Lepisosteus oculatus: one gene and its partners. The protein of the gene in region 2 purifies or fractionates together with the protein of the main gene of each other region. This does not show direct contact. Links are inferred from orthologs where the notes say so. Each region holds a gene or a part of one and is shown on either strand. Other genes may lie near its edges.

Evidence for each region.
Region 1: the proteins of tfdp1b (region 2) and e2f3 purify together in Homo sapiens (affinity purification with mass spectrometry; 3 studies listed by BioGRID and IntAct, with this or other methods). This does not show direct contact. The link is inferred for Lepisosteus oculatus from reciprocal best matches to the Homo sapiens genes TFDP1 and E2F3.
Region 3: the proteins of tfdp1b (region 2) and e2f2 purify together in Homo sapiens (affinity purification with mass spectrometry; 3 studies listed by BioGRID and IntAct, with this or other methods). This does not show direct contact. The link is inferred for Lepisosteus oculatus from reciprocal best matches to the Homo sapiens genes TFDP1 and E2F2.

The regions. Positions count from the first base shown.
Region 1 is NC_090705.1:12,634,517-12,641,628, forward strand, and holds the start of e2f3 (transcription factor E2F3), read left to right. Parts: upstream 1-4,104; 5' UTR 4,105-4,390; coding exon 4,391-4,666; intron 4,667-7,112.
Region 2 is NC_090710.1:28,862,688-28,870,156, forward strand, and holds the start of tfdp1b (transcription factor Dp-1b), read left to right. Parts: upstream 1-4,454; 5' UTR 4,455-4,659; intron 4,660-4,705; exon of another isoform or gene 4,706-4,907; intron 4,908-4,913; exon of another isoform or gene 4,914-5,070; intron 5,071-5,489; exon of another isoform or gene 5,490-5,595; intron 5,596-6,758; exon of another isoform or gene 6,759-6,796; intron 6,797-6,907; 5' UTR 6,908-6,988; coding exon 6,989-7,000; intron 7,001-7,469. Other genes in the region: tmco3 (transmembrane and coiled-coil domain-containing protein 3), read left to right, coding at 1,044-1,157. UniProt on the Homo sapiens protein: Can stimulate E2F-dependent transcription.
Region 3 is NC_090706.1:10,811,402-10,818,978, reverse strand, and holds the start of e2f2 (transcription factor E2F2), read right to left. Parts: upstream 3,009-7,577; 5' UTR 2,425-3,008; coding exon 2,161-2,424; intron 1-2,160. UniProt on the Homo sapiens protein: Transcription activator that binds DNA cooperatively with DP proteins through the E2 recognition site, 5'-TTTC[CG]CGC-3' found in the promoter region of a number of genes whose products are involved in cell cycle regulation or in DNA replication.

The DNA.
Region 1 (7,112 bases), on a different chromosome or scaffold from region 2:
TATTTTATAAAATTGAAACTACTGTGGTAATGTAATGTAGGCCAGCAGCCATATCACCCTGCAACTCACAACTAGCAACCCACTGAAGCTAAGCAGGTGTGAGCCTGGTCAGTACCTAGATGGGAGACCTCCTGGGAAAAACTAAGGTTGCTGCTGGAAGAGGTGTTAGTGGGGCCAGCAGGGGGCGCTCACCCTGCGGTCCATGTGGGTCCTAATGTCCCAGTATAGTGACGTAAACAGGTGCCGTCCTTCGGATAAGACGTAAAACCGAGGTCCTGACTCTCTTTGGTCATTAAAAATCCCAGGGCGTTTCTCGAAAAGAGTAGGGTGTAACCTGGCTTCCTGGCCAAATTTCCCATTGGCCTTTACCAATCATGGCCTCCTAATAATCCCCCCTCTATGAATTGGCTACATTACTCTGCTCTCCTCCCCACTGATAGCTGATGTGTGGTGAGTGTTCTGGTGCACTATGGCTGCAGTCACATCATTCAGGTGGGTTATTATTATTATTATTATTGTCCCTTCCAGGCTGTACCCTGCCTTACGCTCTTCTCCTGCTAGAACAGGCTCCAGCTCCCATGCGACCCCAAACTGGAAGAAGCACTTAGGAAATGGATGAATGGATTTGCAAATATATTTGCATCAGCAAATGCAGCACTTTATAGAGGGGTGTATGGTATATATTCCTTTACACATGCAGATTCTCATTGGAAATGAGAAAAATAAGTAAATAAATAAGCTTCCTGAATTGGAAGACAGGAACTCCCCAAAATACGTCAAATGTACCTTCATCTAAATACTTGCATGTGGCCTCAGTCTTGTTCCACTTTGCCTCCTATTTTCTGTTACATGTTAATTGTTTGGAGTAATTCCCACTGCGTTTCTAACATTTTCCTTTTAGTCATGACAGAAAAACATGCTAACATGAAGGATTAAGGAATTTGATGTTCAGAGTTTGAATTGAATGCTTGAATTACAGCTTTACTGTTAACGTACATTAGCACTCCTAATTTTTTTTTTTCCTTTGTGTGTTGTGGAAGGGAGAAGTTGAAACAGAAGCTCACAGGTTTTTATTGTCCTTAATAATTAACAGGCGCCTGCTAGTCATTCAGAGTTGTTGAGAGAGAGAAAGAGCACAGCATTAGCTACAGTAACATCTCATGTGGTAAAAGACAGGAAGAATTCCACCTTTTCTATCAGGGAGAAGAGGAAGGTTAGAGAACAATCCCAGCACTCCATCATGGGGAAAGTGAATAGTATACTGTAATTAATTACAGAAATGTAATGTTTTATTATTAAAATAATGTAGTGCATAGGATAATAACAGTTGTCAGTGTGAAGGTATAAGATATAAGAGTGCATTACTGCTTACATAAATGTCAGCATATATAAAGATTTTCTGACTCAAATTAAATGTATAATTCAATCACACATAATATGGTCAATATTAATCTGGGACTAGGGTAAGATATATAATTACCCCTGAATTTTAAATTAATTTAAAGCTGTTTTTTTAGTTGCTTGGTGCTTGTTCTATAAACATGGTCTGGGTAGAGAAGTGCAAAAGTGCTTGTCTGTGGAATTTTAGCTTTGCTTAGATCTAATCCTTATTCCACGCCCAAATCCAGCTCCAAAATATATGACCAAAATAACACTAAACCTATATTAATATACATGAGTAAATGGATCAGGAATGTAAGTGTAAGTATGTGCCTAACATGTAATCTGACTCTGACCAAGCCCTTACTTTAACCTGAATTCATTAAAAAAAGTAATCAAAGCTAAATATTAATCTTCATCTTCTATTCTTAAGATTTTCACCTTCATCAACTTAAAATAATCTGAAGACCTCTTCCTCTTCTTGAGTAAGAAGACATGAACACTGAATCTTGTAACACCTCAAAAATGATCAGTGACAAATATCCTGCTTAGAACCAGAACATCTACTTTTGCTGGATTTAAACCCTAAACTGGGCAAAGTCCTCTAGTCGGGTTTCTAGAGCATGCTTTGGCTGTGGAACCTTTCTGCTCATCACTCCTTTACTTACCCACTAGGAACTCTCATTAATTCAAAGTAGTTTTCAACAATCTCAGGGTACATTTAGGTGTAATATAGGTGTTAGAAATCTTTTGAAAAAAAAAACTCAGAAAACTGGGATTGTTTCAAAAGTGAGGGTTAAGTGAGTGATAACTGAGCACTAAATCAAGGGTTGGGAATTTTCCCGGGACTTGGATTAGGGTTAAAAAAAAAAATCAACAGTTTAACTGCAGCCAGGTCATCGCTTTTGAATAGTCCCAATTCAGAAAGGGAAAGGGCAAAATTGAGACTTGGCATGAACGTTTTGTGTGATGTGAATCTCGGCTTGTGCCAAATTGGTTCATCCTAATGCAAAGTCTCCAACATCATTGAGAGTACAAAAATGGAAATTACATCCAAAACACCACTCATCCTCCGTTTTTAATCGTGACAGAAAGAGAGTTATGACATTAAATAAAGCCTTTGTTTAAGGGGAAATATAATCTTAAATTATACTGCACGCATACCCACCAAATAAGATTGTGGTTGCTTAAATCTGACAATTTACAGCAGCCATTATTTTATACACAGGTTGACTCGAGGATGGAGATACAAGTAGGAAAATGAGCAAAGTTACGATTTGTTGAGTTTTGGAAGAATTTCTATTGACCTTTGATGAAATCTTTGATTGGGTCTTAAGATTGTGTTCAATGAGTAATACTGTACATCTAGCGTTAGTAATACTGTATGTATTACTTAAAGTTAAAGTTAGAAAACTAACAGCCATCACTGTGCTTGAAATGACCTGATTAAAACAAATTCTTACCCTAACTCCATTTACACATATATATCCTACTGTAGGTTTTAACATGTTTCACAGCCTTTACCAGTGAACCTTTCAACTGTTTGTAGTGTTAGTACACTGGTAGTTTGCATAATGAGTTAGCAGCAAAATTGTACCTGCTAGGATTTATCATAGTCAGTGTTGGGGTGAGAACCACACAGCAATACTTCCTAAACTGCAGCAAACTCCATAACGTCAGAAGACTGTGCTCTTTATCTTACCAGATTTCAGAGGGTTGATGTCACTTCTGTAGCATGTTCAGTGAACTGAGTCCTGTCACACAGACATTATAGGATAGTGGGAGATCTTACAGGCAGATTCTGAAACCCTACTGACAATACATCCAGAGTGTAAATGTAAAAAAAAAAAGAGTATGGTTAGTAGGATATGATTGTGGTATAGAATAACTGATTAAAATATTTTAAGTTGCCTTGTTACCACGTTATCAAAAATGGTATATTTAAAGTTCAGTTACAGTGATTACAGCATGTCACGACTAAGAGCTCTGGTACCCTTTCTGACACTCCCTTTCTCGACCATTCACCTTGATCTCCACCACTTCGTGGTATACACCTTGAACACTGGTCCTACATTTATGTACACCCTCTGTTCCAACTCAGTACAAGTCAGTGAGGACATCCACTTCTAATCCTAGGGTCTTTGGTCGCCTTCCACACCTCAGGAAAGACAAGAACTGCGGTCAAGCCACACGAACCTTATCTTAGCCAAAAGGTCGTTAATGTTTACGGTGTTCGCTGACTCGCATGACAAACTGCAGTATAAGCTAGTGTTTAAATACATACTTTCGTTACTAAACGGTCGCCCTGTCTCAAATCTTACCATAAACTGGATACGTTTACCTGTCTTATATCATGTTTATATAGACACCAGTGCACGTTAAAGTTTTAAATCAGTAAACCATCGTAACATATAATTAATATCACAACTATTAAGTTCACACCTTGGTGAACAAGCACTAAAATATAAGAAGGAATAACCACCATCAAACACCGAGAAGAAGGGAATCCCCTTCTGTTTCGTCCAATCACCTTTTTCCTATGTAAATAGTTTTCTTTGGTACCTTGGCAACGGTTTTTTTAAGCATCCAATGGCGTGCCAAAGCAGACGTACTCGCATTCTGATTCGAGTACAATTGTTGTTACGTCAGAAAATGGAGGCGGAGACTGGTTCCAAGATGACCAATAGCTTTGAATATGCAAATCTCGTTTGAAAAGTTCCCGGGAAATCTGAGTTTCGCGGGAGGGTCTTTCGCGCGTAAACTGTATCCCTTCATTCATTGTCAGCTTCCTGGAGCCATTTTTCAGCTGCAAAGACGGAGGCTCTTGTCAGTTTTAAATCCATTGCATCTGGCTGTCTGTGTTCTTAATATTAACTTAAAATTAGTAATATCGGTACATTAGACTCTCTTCTAAGTTATACTGTTAGTATTTCAAACGTTGTTGATTTGGATTTCGAGAAAATCGGCTCCAAACCAGAGGAGGGACAAAGGGCAGCCGGAGCAAATAAAGATGAGAAAAGGGATCTCCCCAGCTCCAGAGAAAGTAATAGTAGCAGGGGTTGGAGTCCCAGCCGTTGAAAAAAGTACTGTTTTAACTGGACTGTCAGAAAGTTTTACTTCTAGTTTTCCCAACGCTACATATATCCAGATTATCACCCCGCCGTCCTGTATTCCACAGACTACGAATGTCTGTGTGTCCGAGTCGCCAGCTGGCAGTTTGATTTACTCCACTCCTCACGGACCAACAAACGGAACGGGACAACGACCTGCATTCGGACGTCCACCGGTAACTAAACTGCTCATGTAGCTTAAAAGAAAGTAAATAATTGCAAAACTCAAATGTTTCTGCGTCTGTTTATAATATGCATACTCGCGGTCGAGGGATCACAAATTCGGGGAATGGTTGCTTATCTACAAATTTGCTGCAGCGATCTTACTGTTAGAACTCATCTTTTAGATTTATAACACGGCCGCGATAGCAATATAGCCTTTTCGTTTTAAACCGAAACTTTTCCTTCCTGTACTGGCCTAAAAGGGGTCACACCCGAATGTAAAAGGTCAATTGCTGAAACTCTTCCGCTCTATTTACAAGACGTATTAATAAACTGCTCCTGTGACAAAAATGACATTCGTGGTGCTGCTTTAAGAAAAATACGGAGGACAAATCTAAGCAATAATCGGTGTTATTTTATATGGGATCAGTGTATAGGATTGTCGTGGCGCTGTCTTGTGGGGAAAAACCAAAACGCTAGGCCCTGTTTTCGTGTTTTTTTGGAAAGGGGGGAAGGGATCTGTCTCTCGCCACCTTCGAGATATCCACACACATCTCTCCATTCTTGGGCAGTGTAATCGTTTTAGCAGTGTTTTGACTTCTGGGACTAAAAACCCGGAGCACGTCTTGTTTAAGCGAGGAGTATGGTTTATATGGCAGAGATGACTGTACGTGCAAATCGAATATTACCTTTGACATATAAAGCACACAGGAGTTTTTCGAAAACTAAAACATGCTCGGAGCAGGTGATGTTTGTGATAAGCGAAGTCGTAGCTGTTTCCTAATCACTTTGGCCCATTTTCGTTTGTCACCAGGAACGTGTGCATATCTTTCTTCAATTTTGAAGAGTTTGGAAAACTACAGTGTTCTGCAACACCCTGTAGGATACATTTAAAAGCAAAATGACATAAAGGAGAGATGTCAGTACTTTAAATGGAACGTTATTTTCAAATATATTAGCCACATAGAGGTAAATGTTTTACTTTATTTCAATTGCTGCACATAGCTATGGCCTGTATAGCGTTCTAGCTCTAGAAAGACTTTCCAATGATGATGAAGCAATATTAAAATTAGGGAGACAGTGCTCTGAATGGAGCTTAAAGAAGGCACTCTTCTGATGTGCAACCCTGATTTGCTTCCCCACAGCACTTCCTTGATTCTCTGGAAGAATAATTTTAGGCCAAAATCAAACTTTTTAATATGATGACAGACACAAAGGCCTGGATAATGAGTTAATATGGGTATAATTCTGTACCCCGATACAAATTTGCCAGTTTAACTTCACATTGTGCTGCAACATTTGCCAAATACAAGAAAGCAAGCTTTAACTCTTAACGGCATGTTTTGTGACACGTTATGGGTTTGTTTCAGGCCCTTTCTGTCTTAAGCTAATTGTATTTTATGGGCAGTGCAATTTGTAGCTGCCTGAACCTTGTTCATGGTGTTCTGTATAAGGCAAGCTGACACTGGCTGGGCAGCAAAATCTGCTGTGGATGTAGACATTCAGTAAGATATGGAACATTTTTGGTAAATGGTTCTGTGTTAAAGGTGAATTGAAAGGGACAAAGAATTATTCGAACATAATGTAGCCTGGTATGTACAAAAGAAAGATTTTAAAAATTCAGGTAAATGGAGACAAGACATGGAGACAGTTATTCAAAAGGGCCAGTGGAACTCATTTTAGCCTGGGTTCACTTCCCCTATGTGTGACAGGCACCTTCTCATACAGGTAAAATACACTGCATACATATGTTTAGACCTTGCCCTTCTAACATTTTTCCTAATTTGGACCCAATATATAACAGATGTGGGCAGACTCCTGCCACTCTCATATACATGTTTGATCTTGTCCTGGGCTGGTTAATTTTTGGTCCTCCATTTTTGACACTTTCTCTCATATTGCTCATCTTGAAATTGAGACTGCTCCTTACTGGCATTTTTATCGTGCAAACCGATAGCTTCCTCCTATCAAACATTTTTAAAAAGCAAGCCTGTCTTTCTAGCTTTTCTTGTCGGGCACCTTTTCCTCTTTAATTGGTAGCAAGCTGCCTCAAAGATGATGCTGTTTAATTTGATGAAAATTAGATACATACTTAGTCCACTATTCATTTTTTTTAAATATTGTCAAACATTTCTGAACAATTTAAAAACTTTGAGCCTCACTTCTACACCCTAATGTTTCTGTCGCTAATTGGCTGTGCAGGTGATACCTGATGAGACTGGCTCTTTTTTTTTGCTTCCTGGAGACTAGTGCAATTAGTATTTTGCCATTTTGAATTTTCTGTCTACTCCATTTTGTGAGGGAAGATTTGGGAGGGATGTGAAAAGGGGTTAGGAAATTCTGTTTTTTATTTTTAAGTGATTGAAACTGATTTACATTTCCTGTCTCATTAATATGTAATATGTAACATGCATCTTGGTGTTTGGTTGATTAAAAAAAAGATTTAGGTAAATCACATCA
Region 2 (7,469 bases):
CGCCACTCCAAAGGCCAGTCATCCTAATGCTCAGTGTAACAGCACTTTATGTATTTGTGATTTGTAATTGACATATTTAACCATATGAATTTATGATGCACAATTTTCATCAAAAATGTGTGTTTTGAGCTTTGGAGCAGAAGGGATTCTTTTTCCTGTCATGTGCTTTGCTTTTATCGGCCATGACATGTTATCATGTAGCTAGAAAGCCTGCAGCTGACGGAGAGAGGAAGCCCGTGCAATAAGGGCTATTTTAGAAGTGCAGATATTTACAACAAAAAAATGATCAACATTCGAAAAGGCATCCTATGATGTTGCATAATGTGCTATGCCTCTTGCAACTTCCTTCCTTTGTGTTACATTGCTGGTCCTGGTATCTAGACAAGTGGAGATAGAAGCCTTTATTCGAAATGAACGGCACTGGGTACTGCAATAGTGATTAAAGGAGATAAAAGCACTTAAGTGATTCTTTTTATTCATGCATCTTTATTATTTGTTTTTCTAATTGTGATGTAAGGGAGTGCTCTTTGCCAGTATCAATGGGTTGCATATTTTTTAAAAAAATGTTCCGTGTCGGAGCATTACAAAATTAACCTCTTTATGTGCCCAAGTCCTGTTTTTAATATTTTGCTCACCAGGGCGTGACCAACAACAGAAGCACCGATAACTGCACAAAACAGAAAAGGGAATGCAAACAAAACACAGGGCGCCGATCAGGCAAACTGATTTGACTAATTCTGAAAAGGGGGACGGTATACTGCAACATACACTGCATACACATTTATTGTCTTATGCAAATAGGTCTGTCGCCCGTATCAGCCCTGCCTAAAGGATATTTTACAGAAACCGGGCAGGCCCTGCCAGCAGTGTTGGTTTGCATTCTTTTCAGAAAACCCTGGAGTTCCAGGTAATGGCTAAGCCCACTGTAGAAGGTACTCTGGTGGCTGACGCACGGAGAGGGAGGAGAGCTTGAAAGAGGCGGGAAGGTGGTGCTTTGTTTTTGCCTTCCTTGCGTTCTGTGACGGCGCTCTTGCGTGCTGCAGGTGTACCTCCTCATTCTGAGCGTGACCACCCTGAGCCTGCTGCTGGCGCCCGTGCTGTGGAAAGCCGCTACGCTGAAGTGTGTCCCCAGAGCGGAGCGCTGGACGAGCACCTGACTGTGGCGCCTCTCCTCCCCGCCGCTTCGGATCTGGGGCCGGTGCCGGGTCCGGCTAGAATTCCGTTTCCCAATCATCGTTTTCATTGGGTTGGGCCGGTCGCCGTGACAACACGACGCTGTATTTCATCAGACACTTAACGTCCTGAATGTATAAGCGGGAGACCCTGCAGTTTTGACTGCCTTGGCCAAAGGAGCGGTCACTTGAGTGTGAAAAACAGCGTGATGAGAGAGTTTGGATCAGTAATTTCGATTTAGTATTTTTGTACAATGTCCAAGGCGAAACATTTGTGGTTTCTGGGAGTGATCATCCTGGGTAAAGCATGACTTTTTAACAAAAAGTCTTGTCAGTTCAAAACTGATTTAATATAAACACTGTGTCCTGAACAGTCGGGAATATGTGTACATATAATTTGCTCTTATTTGGTCTGTCTTTAAATTATTTTGACCTACAAGTGTTTGACGTTCCCTGCTTCACCTAGAAAAGTCTGTAATTTTGAAAAGAAAAGAAAACTGTAGAGAAATATAATAAGGCTGTAAAGGAACTCGGGAGCAATGAAGAGGGGCCACTTGCTAAAGAAGAAACATCTGTCACAACGTGGACTGAAGATCCATTGTTGTCTGTCATGCATGATATGTCCATGTTCACACATGGAGGGCCTTCAGCTGGTTGAACAAAAGCAGAAGGCAGGATGCACCAGCTTGTATGTAAATATTGGCACTTTTAGAGCTCTGATATAGCTTGCTTATTATGTTTGACCTAACTTGTCTGAGCAGGTGCTTCCTGTAGGATGTTTTTAATGTGAAACATTATTTGAACCAGTATAGGAGAGCTAATTTGGGGCTTACAATGTTTGTGATTTGTAGGGTTGTGTCAGTGCAAAGGTCTATATTTTTGTATGTCATGCCTTATACCTGCTGGCATGAAAAATAGTTCTTGAAATTCCTAATCGTAGCCACAGAGCATGCAGGCCAAATCAGTTGCTAATGTTGGTTACATTACTGACATTCCAATCCTGCTGATGACACTGTTTTGAAATAATTTGTCTTGAAAGATTGCTCAGGTTCAAGACCTACTCTTTTTAAAAAGCATCGTAGCAGCAATTTCACATTAAACTTTATTTTTTTTAATACTGTCAGAATTCCTTAATTCAGGCTGCAAATCAGGCAGTTTAATTTAGGTTTAAACCGTTAATTGGTTTGATGTCCTCTATCTTCCATTAGATCAAAAGACAACAGCTAAATTAGGAAGAAAAACAATAGATCTTCGATCAAAATTGCACGCTTCTTTTACCGAATGCTTGTTTTAGAGTAATATTTATTTTATTCTATTTTCAAAAGAGTGGACCCTTTCCAAATTATGAATGGCATAAATTATTGGATTAAAGACATGGTCTGCGCTGTTCCAAGGCTGTCTTTGATTGAAGTTATCTGTCTAAACCTTTTTGTGTTGTCTGAGCCCTTACGGTCTGAATCCTTCAGTTTCAGAAAAAATGTAAAATAAGTGCCTTACAATACATTCCACATCTCCCTTGTGTTACCTCGCCATACACTGCATGGATGTCACGGTACCTTTAATATGCTTGCACCTACGTACTTCTTAGTCCTTAAACTTCATCAGCATACTGTAAGGGGGTTCTTAATTCTTTGACATGGGTTTTCTGGCCTGTGCTCAGTATGAAGTAAAACTGGCCAATTGACCAGTTTTCCGCTTGCTTATGTCTAAAAGGTTTGTGTGTGTTTTCCAGATGCTTTAAGTATCCGTTACAAAATCTGGACTTTCTGCGTTAGTCCAGTGCGGCGCAGGTAATAAGGCATCCATGATAGTCATCCTTCTCATTCTAAGCACAACCAAAGAAACCCTTTTAAACACTTACTGTGGCTTTTGTTTTTCTAAAACACAGAAATGTGTAACAGTAAATTTGAAATGGGTTTTGTTACCAACGGTTGCCTTTTTGCCAATTCTCTTTTACGTCCTGTAAATGTAAAGCGCTTTGCTGCTAAGTGTTTACATGGCTTTCTGCTGGGATGCAGATGAGCATGGCTGCTCTTGCTTTGAATGCATACCGGAGGCACTGATGATGCTTTGCTTTGCAGTGCTTTGGCAGTCAGCTTGGGAAGAATTGTGTGATTACAATAAAGGGACCCATTCGGGACCTAGAGCGTTCATGCTCCTCAATAGATTGCACTTGTGAGTTTAAAGAAGGTACAAAAGTTTTATGAAGTTAAATTAAGGTGTCAGGTGTTGTTCCAGTCTATATAGTGCATCACATCCTGTGACCATAACACTAATATTTTTGTAAGGGGAATGTTTAAATAACTTTATTCAGAAATGAAATATAACTTTTTTTAAAAACAAAGTGGTAGCAGTGATTATTTTATTCGGATGAATCAGATTTCAAGCACAAGCGTTTTAGGAATCTTTATTTTTTATTGGTTTAGAAAATGGTGTTCAACGATCCAGACTATGTGAATTTATTTTGTTGTCCATCTAATGTAATGTGACTTTTTTCATTCCACGCATATCAATGTGTAAAGTGCTGGGAAGGATTAGTGGATAAATAAAAATAATAATAAAATAACATAACATTGGAATAAATGTGAAGTATCATTGTGATTTGTTAAAGTGCTAAACCACAAAGCTGTGAAAGTACAAAGTGGAATGTATCTTATTTTATTCCATGATGTAGATTACTTTATTAATGACCGACAGAGAATGCTGTTTCCCTGCCAGCATTCCTTGTTAATATTCCAGTTAATCACTGGGATTACTTTAGGAAAAACTGCCCGGTTGCTTTAGCTCAAGGCTTCATTTTAATAAATAACAATAGTTACAGTATTATGCCATCTTATAGAGAACTTAATTACACCACTTCTCATTGTTGAATAATTTCCTATCATATTATTTCCGGACTATCCAGCTCTGTTTAGGTTATTTAATTTAACTCTCAGATGTAATTTACAAACATTCCTAGTGTTTTGAACGGGTATGTTATCCTTGGACACCTCGGGCTACTGTAACATTTACTATGGAAATCGGATACATTTTTTTTACACATCGAAACCCAAAAAAACAAAAGCCAATCCGATCCCACCAGCCACCTCTCCACTCCCAGCTCCCCCTCTATCCCATAACCCCCCGCGCCAGGTGCCTCCACCAGAGCGACGGCTTTACCGCCAGCCATTGCGAGAGGGGGAGGCGTGGCCTCCCCACCCGCCCCCCCCCCGCCTCCTCCCGCCGGCGCGATGACGTCGCCCCGTGCGTGCCCAATGGGCGCGCTCGTTTTGTGGACACCGCCAAGATCAGTTTTGTCGGCCGGAGAGCAAGGAGCACAGCGCGCTGGAAGAGGCAGGCTCGAGTTGGGAACCTGGCGCTGACAGGTTCTAAGAAAACACCGGAGCGCACGGGATAAAAAAAAAAAAAAAAACATTCCGTGGGTGGAATCTCCCGCGCCGCGCCACGCCACGCCGGGGCAGGGTTATGAGCCTCGGGTTTTGAGCAAGTAAGTGGCGGACGGACCAGTAACCACCCCCCCCCATCCAGCGCAGAGCAGAGCGTTTCGTTTTACGCGAGGGAGTAGTTTTGACACAGATGGCTGAGGCGACATTGCAGGCGAGCGCCGGAGGGGTCCGCGAAAGTTGAATCCTTACGCCAGGATTGCACGCATGCGAGCGGGGACGTGGGCGATGCTGGCTTCGCCGTGGCCCCCTGCGTGACGAGGGCTGCAGTCCCGGCTTGGTGTAGCCAAAGGTCTTTTATTCCCCACCACCACCTCCCCTCAATCCTCTTGGTTCTAACGGCAGTGAAAGTCGGTGTGATCCAGGTCCCAGCTGGGTTACTGAAGGGGCGAAACGACCTGGGCTTTTTTGTTGTTGTTGTTGTTGTAGCTTTGGGTTTGACGTCCCGTTCCAAGGTAAACACAAACCTCTAGCTTCCTTTGCGGCGGCGACCCCGGCTCTCTGCCTCCCCAAGCACGAGTTATAGCCGTGGTCTGAGATGAGACGGGCGATCGGGACAGAGATGAACTAGCCGCCGTGCCTGCCCTGCACGCTTGAACCCGGGGGAGACGGCCCCCAGGACAGGCGCCGGGACCCCCACGGCTGTGCTGCCGGGTGACATGCCGGAGCCGGGACGGGGGCTCGGAGCAGCGTGCGGCGGCGGCGGCCGTGAGAGGCCAAGATGGCAAAGCGACCATTTTGTCGAGGACGGGCTTTCCGAGAGCACGCAAGGGGCTGCGTTTTGAGTCCTGCGTGTCGGCGGTGTAGCTCGGGGTGGCGTTAATTCTGACAGAATGGCAGACTTGGCCCTTTTTTGTGTGTGTTTTCTTTTCAGTTTGGGGTTTCCTGTTGGGTGTACGGGTTCAGACCACCTCTTCCTCTCCCACTGCCAGCCAGCCAGCGCAGGAGCCGGAGTGCAGCTGAATGACGCCGGGGCAGTTGTAAGTTTGTTGCAGTTGATCGGAGGTGGTCGGTGCCTTTTTGTTTTTGGTGGGTTTGGGGGGGGGGGGGGGGGGGGTCGTTTTATTTTCCGATGAGCTGGCGAAATGAATTCGCGTGTGGTGGCACATTGTAGCAATCGGGGCGTGCAAGTTCAGATGTCTTAGATTTTTGCTGTAACCACCTTTTGGTTTTTAAAGAGGACGTGCGTTTCCGCGTAAATACTTTTTTTTTTACCGAAGGTGCAATAGGAGGATTTTCGGGCAGGTTTTAAGTCCTCACCCCCCCCCCCCCATCAAGGGGACACGTACTGTATCGCCGAAGCAGGTTGCAACAGTGGCCGGATTAGTCCGGACTCTCCAGTTTCCAGAAACGCGTAGGCCTCACGTCGCCTGTTTTTCTGAAGTTGGGACAAGCCGGCACGATCCAGCCCAGTGTGTTCACGGCCTGGAAGCGGGCTCCCATTTCGCCCAGAAACGGGTTTTGTTTATTTCCGACGGTGCACCTTTTTGTGTTCACAACGCCCGTGCCCGAAGGAATGGAGATGCTGGAGTGCCGGCCTGCTCGGTGAAAGGGATTCAACTTCTTTGGGGACGGAGGTGGGGGGGTATCTTTGCAAAAAAAAAAAGGGCAAAACAAAATGAACATCGTGCTTCCTGAAAGGGTTCGCGTTTTTCTGCACGGTGCAGGCTCTCGGGTGCTGTGCCCACGCGTTTAAAACGATACTCTCTCAGCTAGGACAGACCAACCGGAGGCCTAGCGCTTGTTGGGGGGGCCGCTAATGTTATTCAAACGGTCAGGCTGACACCCGGACACGGCTTGCATGTCAATGACAGGGGACTCGTGTCCCTTGTGCGTTAAAATGGACACCACTTTCACCCGGCGAGCACCACCGGCGCTTTGGTGGCAGCTTTGTAGCCGCCTCCTCCTCCTCCTCCTCGTCGTCGTTAAGGAGAGAGTGTGTCTGTTGGGTGGTGTTGACGGTGTTCAGTCTGGCCTAGAGGGGGGTCTCTCGGGGCCCAGCTGTTGAGCTCAGGGGTGGTGGGGGGGGCTCTCAGTGTCTGGTGTTTTTATTAGGCGCCCAGTACCTTTCTGGAGGGGGTCCTGACAAGGCCAAGAGACACCCTGAGCTTTGATGTTTTTTTTTTTTCCCTTCCTTTTCCAGCTGAACTAAATGAACACCTCTCGCGGGGAGCTCGAAAGGTAAAGCCTGCAGGAGGGCCGGAGCCCGGTCCGAGTCCGAAACGGCGCCCCACCCACCCCCAACCCCCCACGCAGGCGGGTTAAAACCGGGCTGACTTCTCTCTCTTGCAGGCAGGCCTTCGCAGAACACCCTGAGCCGTTTTCTCTCCCTCCCGAGACGCCAGCGCATCCCTTCTCCCAGGACTCGGTATCATGGCGAAGGATGTGAGTGAGGGGGTGGGGAGGACACTGGCAGGGGCGGGCTGCGCCTCGGCTCTGTGGCCAAGAGGCCTGGGCTCTGTGCTCTGCTGTTGAGACGGCAGGACCTTCTGCCATCGGGTGGGGTGGGAGAGAGAGAGAGCTCATTCCTCATCCTCACTCTCTGGAGGTTCTCTGTACCCTGAAACGTCGAAGCAGAGCGTCCTGGGTCTGTACAGAGCCGGCCCGCATGCGTGCGTTCTCGGTAGGGCTTACTAGTCGTTGACACGACCTCGCCATTTTTTTTTCCAATCCCGATTACTTCCCTCCAGGATTTCGGTCGCGTGGAGCACCGGCCGGCCGTTAAACCCTCCACACGCCAGGCCGCGTTTGGCAGTCTCTTCTTGCAGGCTCGTGGCCTGGGTAGCACCCCCAGCGCACGCCTGGGCTCTGCCGAAGATTGTGGGTTTCGTGATGGCAGGCTCGAGCTGCAGTG
Region 3 (7,577 bases), on a different chromosome or scaffold from region 2:
CAAATCGGGGTAGCCCACCTCCAAACATCAATAGCTTTTAGGAGTACAGTGCTTTAGCCACCACTCTGCACTGCCCCAGAATAATAAGGGAGTGTTCCCCACTCTGCATACAAACCTGGGATCTGAACTCCCAATCCTCCAGTTACTGGCCCAGACCCCTGCCCACTGCTGCCCCTTAAAGAAACTTAATTACTATGCAGTTGTGTTGTTCACTGTATTGAGATCCTAATCAAAGCACTTACACTTTTATACCTTTACATCACGATTTTTCTAGTAGCACAACGCAGACCTTTATTTTTCAGTGACTTTCCTGTTTGAGAATAGTAATAATCCATGTTCCTGCAAACTACTAATTTTGGCAGTAGCTGTACTAACAAATGCACCATCTCACAGCTGACAAAAAACACAGAAATTTCAGAATAGTCTGTGAAGAGGTCAAGATGCAGTGCTTTCCTCTCAACACAACAACTTAAAAAGACGACCTGTAATAGGAACAAAGCATCACATATTGCTGTGAGTTTGAGCAATTGAGGACCAGAATACTGCACACCTGTGTAGTTCAATGTAAATCCGGCTGGGACAGATGCAATTACTTCCCTGTGCTTCAATCCAATCAAAGGTTAAAAATAATTGCCCTCTCCCCTTCAGGCTTACCCTATACCAGAAAAAATACAGAGCAGGTTTGAGTGACACACTCCTACATTCTCTCATGCAAATCAACTGTTAGTTGATAGGGCAGACATGAGCACCCAAGAAAGTCAAATCAAGTGCTATTTTCATAATGTGGCACCACCAGGTTACGCTGCAAACATCACTTCAACTGACGTGGTGCACCCAGGAAATCTGATGTGCACCACAAAAAGCTGAAGACCATATTTTTGTAGTTCTTGAAAATTTGAAGTGAAGGGGCAGGGAGGCACCCTGAACTGCGCAAGTTCCAATTGCTTTTTCTAAACATCATCTACGTCCATCTGAGGCTATATACAGTCTCAGCACTTCTACTCAAGCAATTCATTCATAAAGGAGAAGCAAAAAAAACTGCTCATCACACTTCGATCCAGTTACCCCAGAGGCTTTTAAACTGTTGGTTTTTTTTTTTTGTTTGGAGTAGAAACACCTTCGCACGAACTCCGCCTTAAACTGGCTTTTCCTTGCGAACAGCTGAATTCATCCGAACTACACCTGCGCAGACCTACCCCCGAAGCCCTCCTGCCCACTGCAGCCGCAAACAGGGCTTGACCCCTGACCTCTGCACTCTCCACCCTGAAGTGACAGCGGCAGGTTGTGTGGATGTGAACGCACTAGGAGTACAGCAGGTGTCACACAGAGTGGCAAACCACCGGAAAAGGACACCAACAGCTGTGCAGAATGAATGGAGCAAGTTGGTCAAAATTAGCGGATAGCGCACACGATTCAACTGTCTCGTTTTATTCATATTTCATCACGCTCTGCTGTATTATTTGGGAACCATTGGAGAGGTTTCATTTCCGTTTTAATGACGCACATCTCCCGGTCTTGTGCCTCTGTCTCGGGCTATTCTTATGGTACCCCCCCCCCTCTTCAGGCGTGTCTCTGGTCCTCCACTGACCCCCTCTCTCAGGCTGTAACAGCTGGGATGCGAGACCACGGCCTCTATCAAAGGGGAGCCGCAGCCTCCTTCCACGCCGCCCGCGGGAAAAGCCCAGACCTCCTCTTCCATCTTTTTACTGCCGCTTCAGAAGGCGGCCCCACTGACTTTGCGTTCGCTTCCAAAGCGAGTCACCGTTTAGAGCCCTTCGCCACTTGAACGACTTCTGGGCGCCGCAGACTCGAGCACTGCACAATTAAACAAATCTCGCAATTTTTTGGGCCGAAAAATTAAACCATCGCTCCCCCCCACCCCCCGCACATACACTCACATTTAATAACGCGACACGGATTGAGCTCTAAACTTGTGCTCGCAAAATTTACGCATCCAGCCCAGTTAAAGCGATCAGTAAAGTCAATCTGAAATTCTCATATTGACTCGACGTTTCGATTGAGACGCAACATTAAAGTTGCATACAAAACGACACGCCTTACAGCTACGGGGGTACCATCCTAGACCGCAAGGTGTAAGAAAGGGCACTTTATTCAAAATAAAAGGTTAAGATGGAGCGCATTAAATCATTGCGGACTTACCGGTAGCCTCCCGGAGGTAGCTCTGATGGGCTTCGCTTCAGGCCCGTGGGGGGTCGAGTACAGACAGCTCGCCCTCTGATCCCCAGAAGCGGTGTTGCAGATCTGGCTGAGGTAGCCGGACGATAAAGAGTTGATCGGAGGACTCGACAGTTCAGTACCGAATAATTCGGTTCTTGCCCCGGCTAACACCTTCCTCGTCGACCCCGAAAAGCCAACTGCTCCCTTACCGGAAGCCGGAGAGACCCCTCTGGGTAACCGCATCATCTTTTATTCTGCTCTGCTAAAAATTCCCCACTCAAGTCTGCCACTCAATCGGGGGAAAAAAATAATAATGCGGTATATCCTTTTTGTGTGAACGACCGGCTTCCAGAAGCTTTAGCAGAAATGTGCATTCATAAAAACGATTAAATATTAAAAACAATGCAGCTGACTGCTGCTCTTGCCGATTGTCGATAAACAATAGGTTAAAATGCTAAAAATACGCAGAATACACACAAGTAATAAAGTCTTAAATAATCTATCTGTAGTAAACGCCACCTCTTTTAAGATTTCAGTATTTTTAAACTAATCTAAAACAAAATTGCTTCGTAGACCTAGATCTGGTTACTGCATCGAAAAGCAAGAGAATGAAAGTGGACTTCCAACTCTAATAGTGTCAAAAATCCAAAAAATACCGCCTATCCCTTCCAATATAGGCATATCCAGATTCAGCAAAGTCTGCAGATTCACAATCCTGGATCAGAATCCCTAATACAAGTGTATTTTGTACAGGATGCTTCGGATTTTCATCGGAGTGCATGAACAGTCCTGCTGAATTCCTGCTATTTCAAAGTTACAACAGCTTCAACTCCCCAGCTGATCAGACCTGCAGTTTTAGCGCCAAAGTGCGTCCCGCGAAATTTGGATCTCCCGCGGCTGGAGCTCGGCTCTGATTGGTCACAATGCTGCCCGTTTGTTGGTTATTTGCATAGAACTGTTGGAGCGCGAGGGGAGGGTCCCTGTCTTTAAAGAGACAGAGGCCGATATTCTGGACTAAGCTTGAACTCTTTATTTACCTGCTGCATTTAAATTGCTTACAGGCAGCAACTCGAATCAGACATTTGGGGACCTGAAGAAATGCGCAGGATTGCATCGTATTCAGTAGAACTTTGTTAAGAAGCAGCTTGTGGGAGCTGCCTCCCATAAAAAAAAAAATCCGATTATTTACCAACGTAGTTCAGCCTGAATACCACCAGGAGGACTGTAATGTAAATATTCTTCAAGCCTCAGGGGAATCGTACATCCGGGGGTTGACACGAAAAACTGAACGCTTCGGATTTGTTTTTCTTTAAAGTGAATTTCAGGCTGAGCTCGCTTGTCCTGCGCCCCAACCTTTTCTGCTACCTGGCTTTCTGAACGCTTAGCCAAGCAACTGAGTGTGACCAGCTCTTTATATACATGATGTACACGTATTTATTTATATATTTACTTATATATTGCTGTGTGTAGAGTATACATTTTGCAGCAACTGAACGTTTAAGTCTTAATAATAATATTAGTATTAATAATAATGTCCTCTCCTCACTGTGCCCACTAAATCACGGACTTTTGGCGACTGTTGGTTCTGTCGCTACTCCAGCGTTGTGGGATGACCTTCCTCAGACTCTATGAGACAACTTCTTTAACTCTCTTCAAATCTCAACTTAAAACTGACCTTTTTACCAAGATCTGCGTCTGCTTGCCTACATTTGTAAACACCTGTATTATTATTTTTATTCTTGATTTACTTTGTATTGTACTTTTTCGTCTTCTTATTAATGATGAACAGCGTCATTAGAAGGCATTTTATAAATAATACCTTTCAAAGTTGTTCGTACACAGAAAAAGACCCAAAAAGTACAATAAAAACTTTAAAAAAATAAGAACACATGGTATCATATAGATAGAATATGGTGGATGCTGCACATTGGTGGTGGTGGAGGGGAGTCCCCATTACCTGTAAAGTGCTTTGAGTGGAGTGTCCAGAAAAGTGCTATATAAGTGTAAGTGTAAGCAATTAATAAAGGTCAATCAAATAAAGGCTGTGGTGAAAAAAGTTAGTTTTGATTTTGGATTTGAAGAGAGTCTTGAGGAAGGGCTCTCCAAAACATAATGGCAGTGATAGAAAAAGCACAGTCCCCGAGAGTCCGAGATCTAGTCCTGGGTACTGTGAGCGGAGGACCAGTCTCAGCTGAATGGGGCTAGAGGAGGGAGTGTAGACATGCAGGAGCTCAGAGAAGTATGTTGGAGCCTTGAACAGTAATAAGATCTTATCTTGAATACATGATTCTATAGGCAACCAGTGTAGAGACTTGTGGAGGAGTAATAAGATGCTAGCATCTGGTGTGAGTTAGTAGTCTAGCTGTCTAGAGTTTTGAACATATTGCAACTCACTGAGAAGAGTGTTAGGGAGCCCATTGAGTAAATAATATAGATCTAATGCTTTATACTTACCTGAAACAGGACTTTCCTATTGGCCTTTATCTTTTCATCTTTCAGACTGTACCAAGCTGCGCGAGAATCATGCAGGACTGGAGCTCTCAACTTACTCACCAAATGGATTAAAAACATAAAAGAGATCCAGCTCTTTTTGTGACAGTTAACTTGGATCTGAGAATTGTTTCTGGTCAGTTCTTAGAGGATCTCCAAGAGGCTATATAATATAATAGGGCTATATAGCATGGAGGTGCTGCTTATTTCAGACCCCAGCCACTCTTTGTGTAAAGAAAAGCTTCTCACTCTCCTATGGGTCATATGAGCACACCTTCTTAACTTCGATGTGGGTCCCCAGATCCTTGGTGATCTTCTTTACTCCCATTGCTCTCTGGCATCTTCTGTACACAATAAGCACTAAACAAATTCCAGCCTGAAGTCTTCAAGTGCTTATAGCAGGTCTGTGTTTGTCCCTCGTGCAGTAGTAACAGCAAAAGGGAAGGCCCAGAAAACGACCCCATCCCCACTCCCAGTGCATGGCCATGTTGTGATTTTGTGCCTCACAGACCTGGGCTCTTGGGTTCGATTCCAGCCTTGGAACTTGCTAACTTTGCAAGTTCATCCCCATGTTCATGTGGGGTTTCTCTGGTCACTCTTTCACGTCTTAGGCATGGCTGGCCACTCTAAATCGTCCCTTTTTTTTGGAGGGTTAAAGGCAATTTCCTTCATGGAGGGGGGTTTTCTCCATGTTAGTATGGAGACGAATTGAACAGAAATGAATGAATGTGAATATGGTGTGTCATATGGCCTCCTGTCAGTTATGCTCTTTCCGACATATAAATGCACACATCTAAACTGTGCGTACCTGGAAGACGCTTGGGGCCAGACAACTGCACATCAGTGGGGAGACCACAGCGACAGGGTTTCTGAGTGGAAGCTCCTAACTTGCTCGGTCAAGCAGAAAGTGATGCTGCCTCCACAGGGGAGTGATGTGGAGTGGTGTGAGTGGATCTTATAATGAATACATTAATACATGTACTATATATGAATACAGAATAATTGCTTACACTTATACAGCGCTTTTCTGGACACTCCACTCAAAGCGCTTTACAGGTAATGAGGACTCCCCTCCACCACCAACCATGTGCAGCCCAATCTGGATGATATGACGGCAGCCAAAGTGCACCAGTACACTCACCACACACCAGCTCTCAGTGGGGAGGAGAACAGAGTGATGAAGCCAGTTCATAGATGTGAATTATTAGGAGGCCATGATTGGTAAAGGTCAATGGGAACTTTGGCCAGGATGCCGGGGTTACACATCTACTCTTTTCGAGAATCGCTCTGGGATTTTTAGTGACCACAGAGAGTCGGGACCTCGGTTTTAACAGTATAGTGTCCCCGTCACTATACTGGGGCATGAAGACCCACACAGACTGCAGGGGGAGCGCCCCCTGCTGGTCCCACTAACACATCTTCCAGCAGCAACCTTAGCTTTTCCCAGAAGGTCTCCCATCCAGGTACCGAGCAGGCTCACACCTGCTGAGCTTCAGAATGGTTGTCTTTCAATTTTCAAACTGATTAATGTAATACAGGGTGGTGGGGGAGCCGGAGCCTATCCCAGCAAGCAATGGGTGCAGGAGAAACCCTGGACACACCAGTCCATCACAGGTCAGATACACACACACTCACACCAGGGCCAATTTTCGCTAAGGCCAATTAATCTACAGTACCAGTATGATTTAGCTCTCTGGGAAGGAACTGGAGCACCCTGTGGAATCCCACGCAAACACAGGATGAAAATACATACCCTATGCAGATCGCACCCCAGGAATCGAACCCAGGGCCCCAGCACTAAAAGGCAGCAACCACTGCACCATGCTGCGGACTCTCCTGTACTTGATCATATACAGTATAATTCTCCTCCATTAGGAGGACACCTTTAGAAACTTGTCTTCTGACCTTCATAAATAGTGCCGTTAATTAAACATCTCCCTGAAGATGTCAATCAGTTAACTCATATGTGTATGACCTCCGTAAAAATATATATAAAAAAGATGCAATACCTATCGTAGGCTACACCTACAGGACAACTGGGACACAAGATTCGATCTGTGCTACCGCCCTGGGCCGCTAGGTGGCGCTCCAGTCATGCAAGACAAATCCACCGTCCTGGCAGGAGTTATATTTACATTGATTCAGATATAAACACCCCAACTTAGTACGACCACCGAAGCTGAAGGTAACAACAGTAGACATGAATCAAAACTACAAAGGAGACTTGTATAGAATAAGAAGAGTAAAACTTGTCACAATGAGGAAGTCTGGCTGACTGGGCATTGGGATTAATAACAGGACACAGGGTCTCTTTCACTGGGTGGCGCTTAGGCCCGTGGAAAAAAAATACAAAACGCACTGTACTTCGACAGTATGAGGGTATTTACAATACACGAACTAGCAAATTTAGATCAATCAAACATCATTTAACCAAGCTATTAGGCGTTTCGTTTCGAGAATTACTGAGAGTGGATCGCCGCGATCAAAGAAATGAATACATTATTATTATTTGTAATGAGCACTTAAAAACTCAAGAGGATTAGAGAAGACAGTGATGTCACTAAAGGCCTACCCGTACGATCAAAGTAACAAGTTAAAACTACTCGTGTAATCTTAATCTGAAATTGAAGCGACGGAGTTCAAAGGACATAAACGGGGGTTTATAGCAGGAGCCATCACTCCTGTCTTTCCAGGACGCTTGTGACCTCTAATGTAGGGCAGAAACGATGCACGTGGGTCTTTAGCTCACCAGTGGGGAAAAGAGGTTAGTGTGCGTACAGCACTGGGACCAAAAAATAGATTTTTTTTTTGTTTCTGGGTTTTTTTTTAACTGCAAGGCGGGAGCGATCTGAGGCAGACTGCCCGGCGCCAGTCCGCACCTGCGAGCGAGTTACAAGCCCCAAGATGAG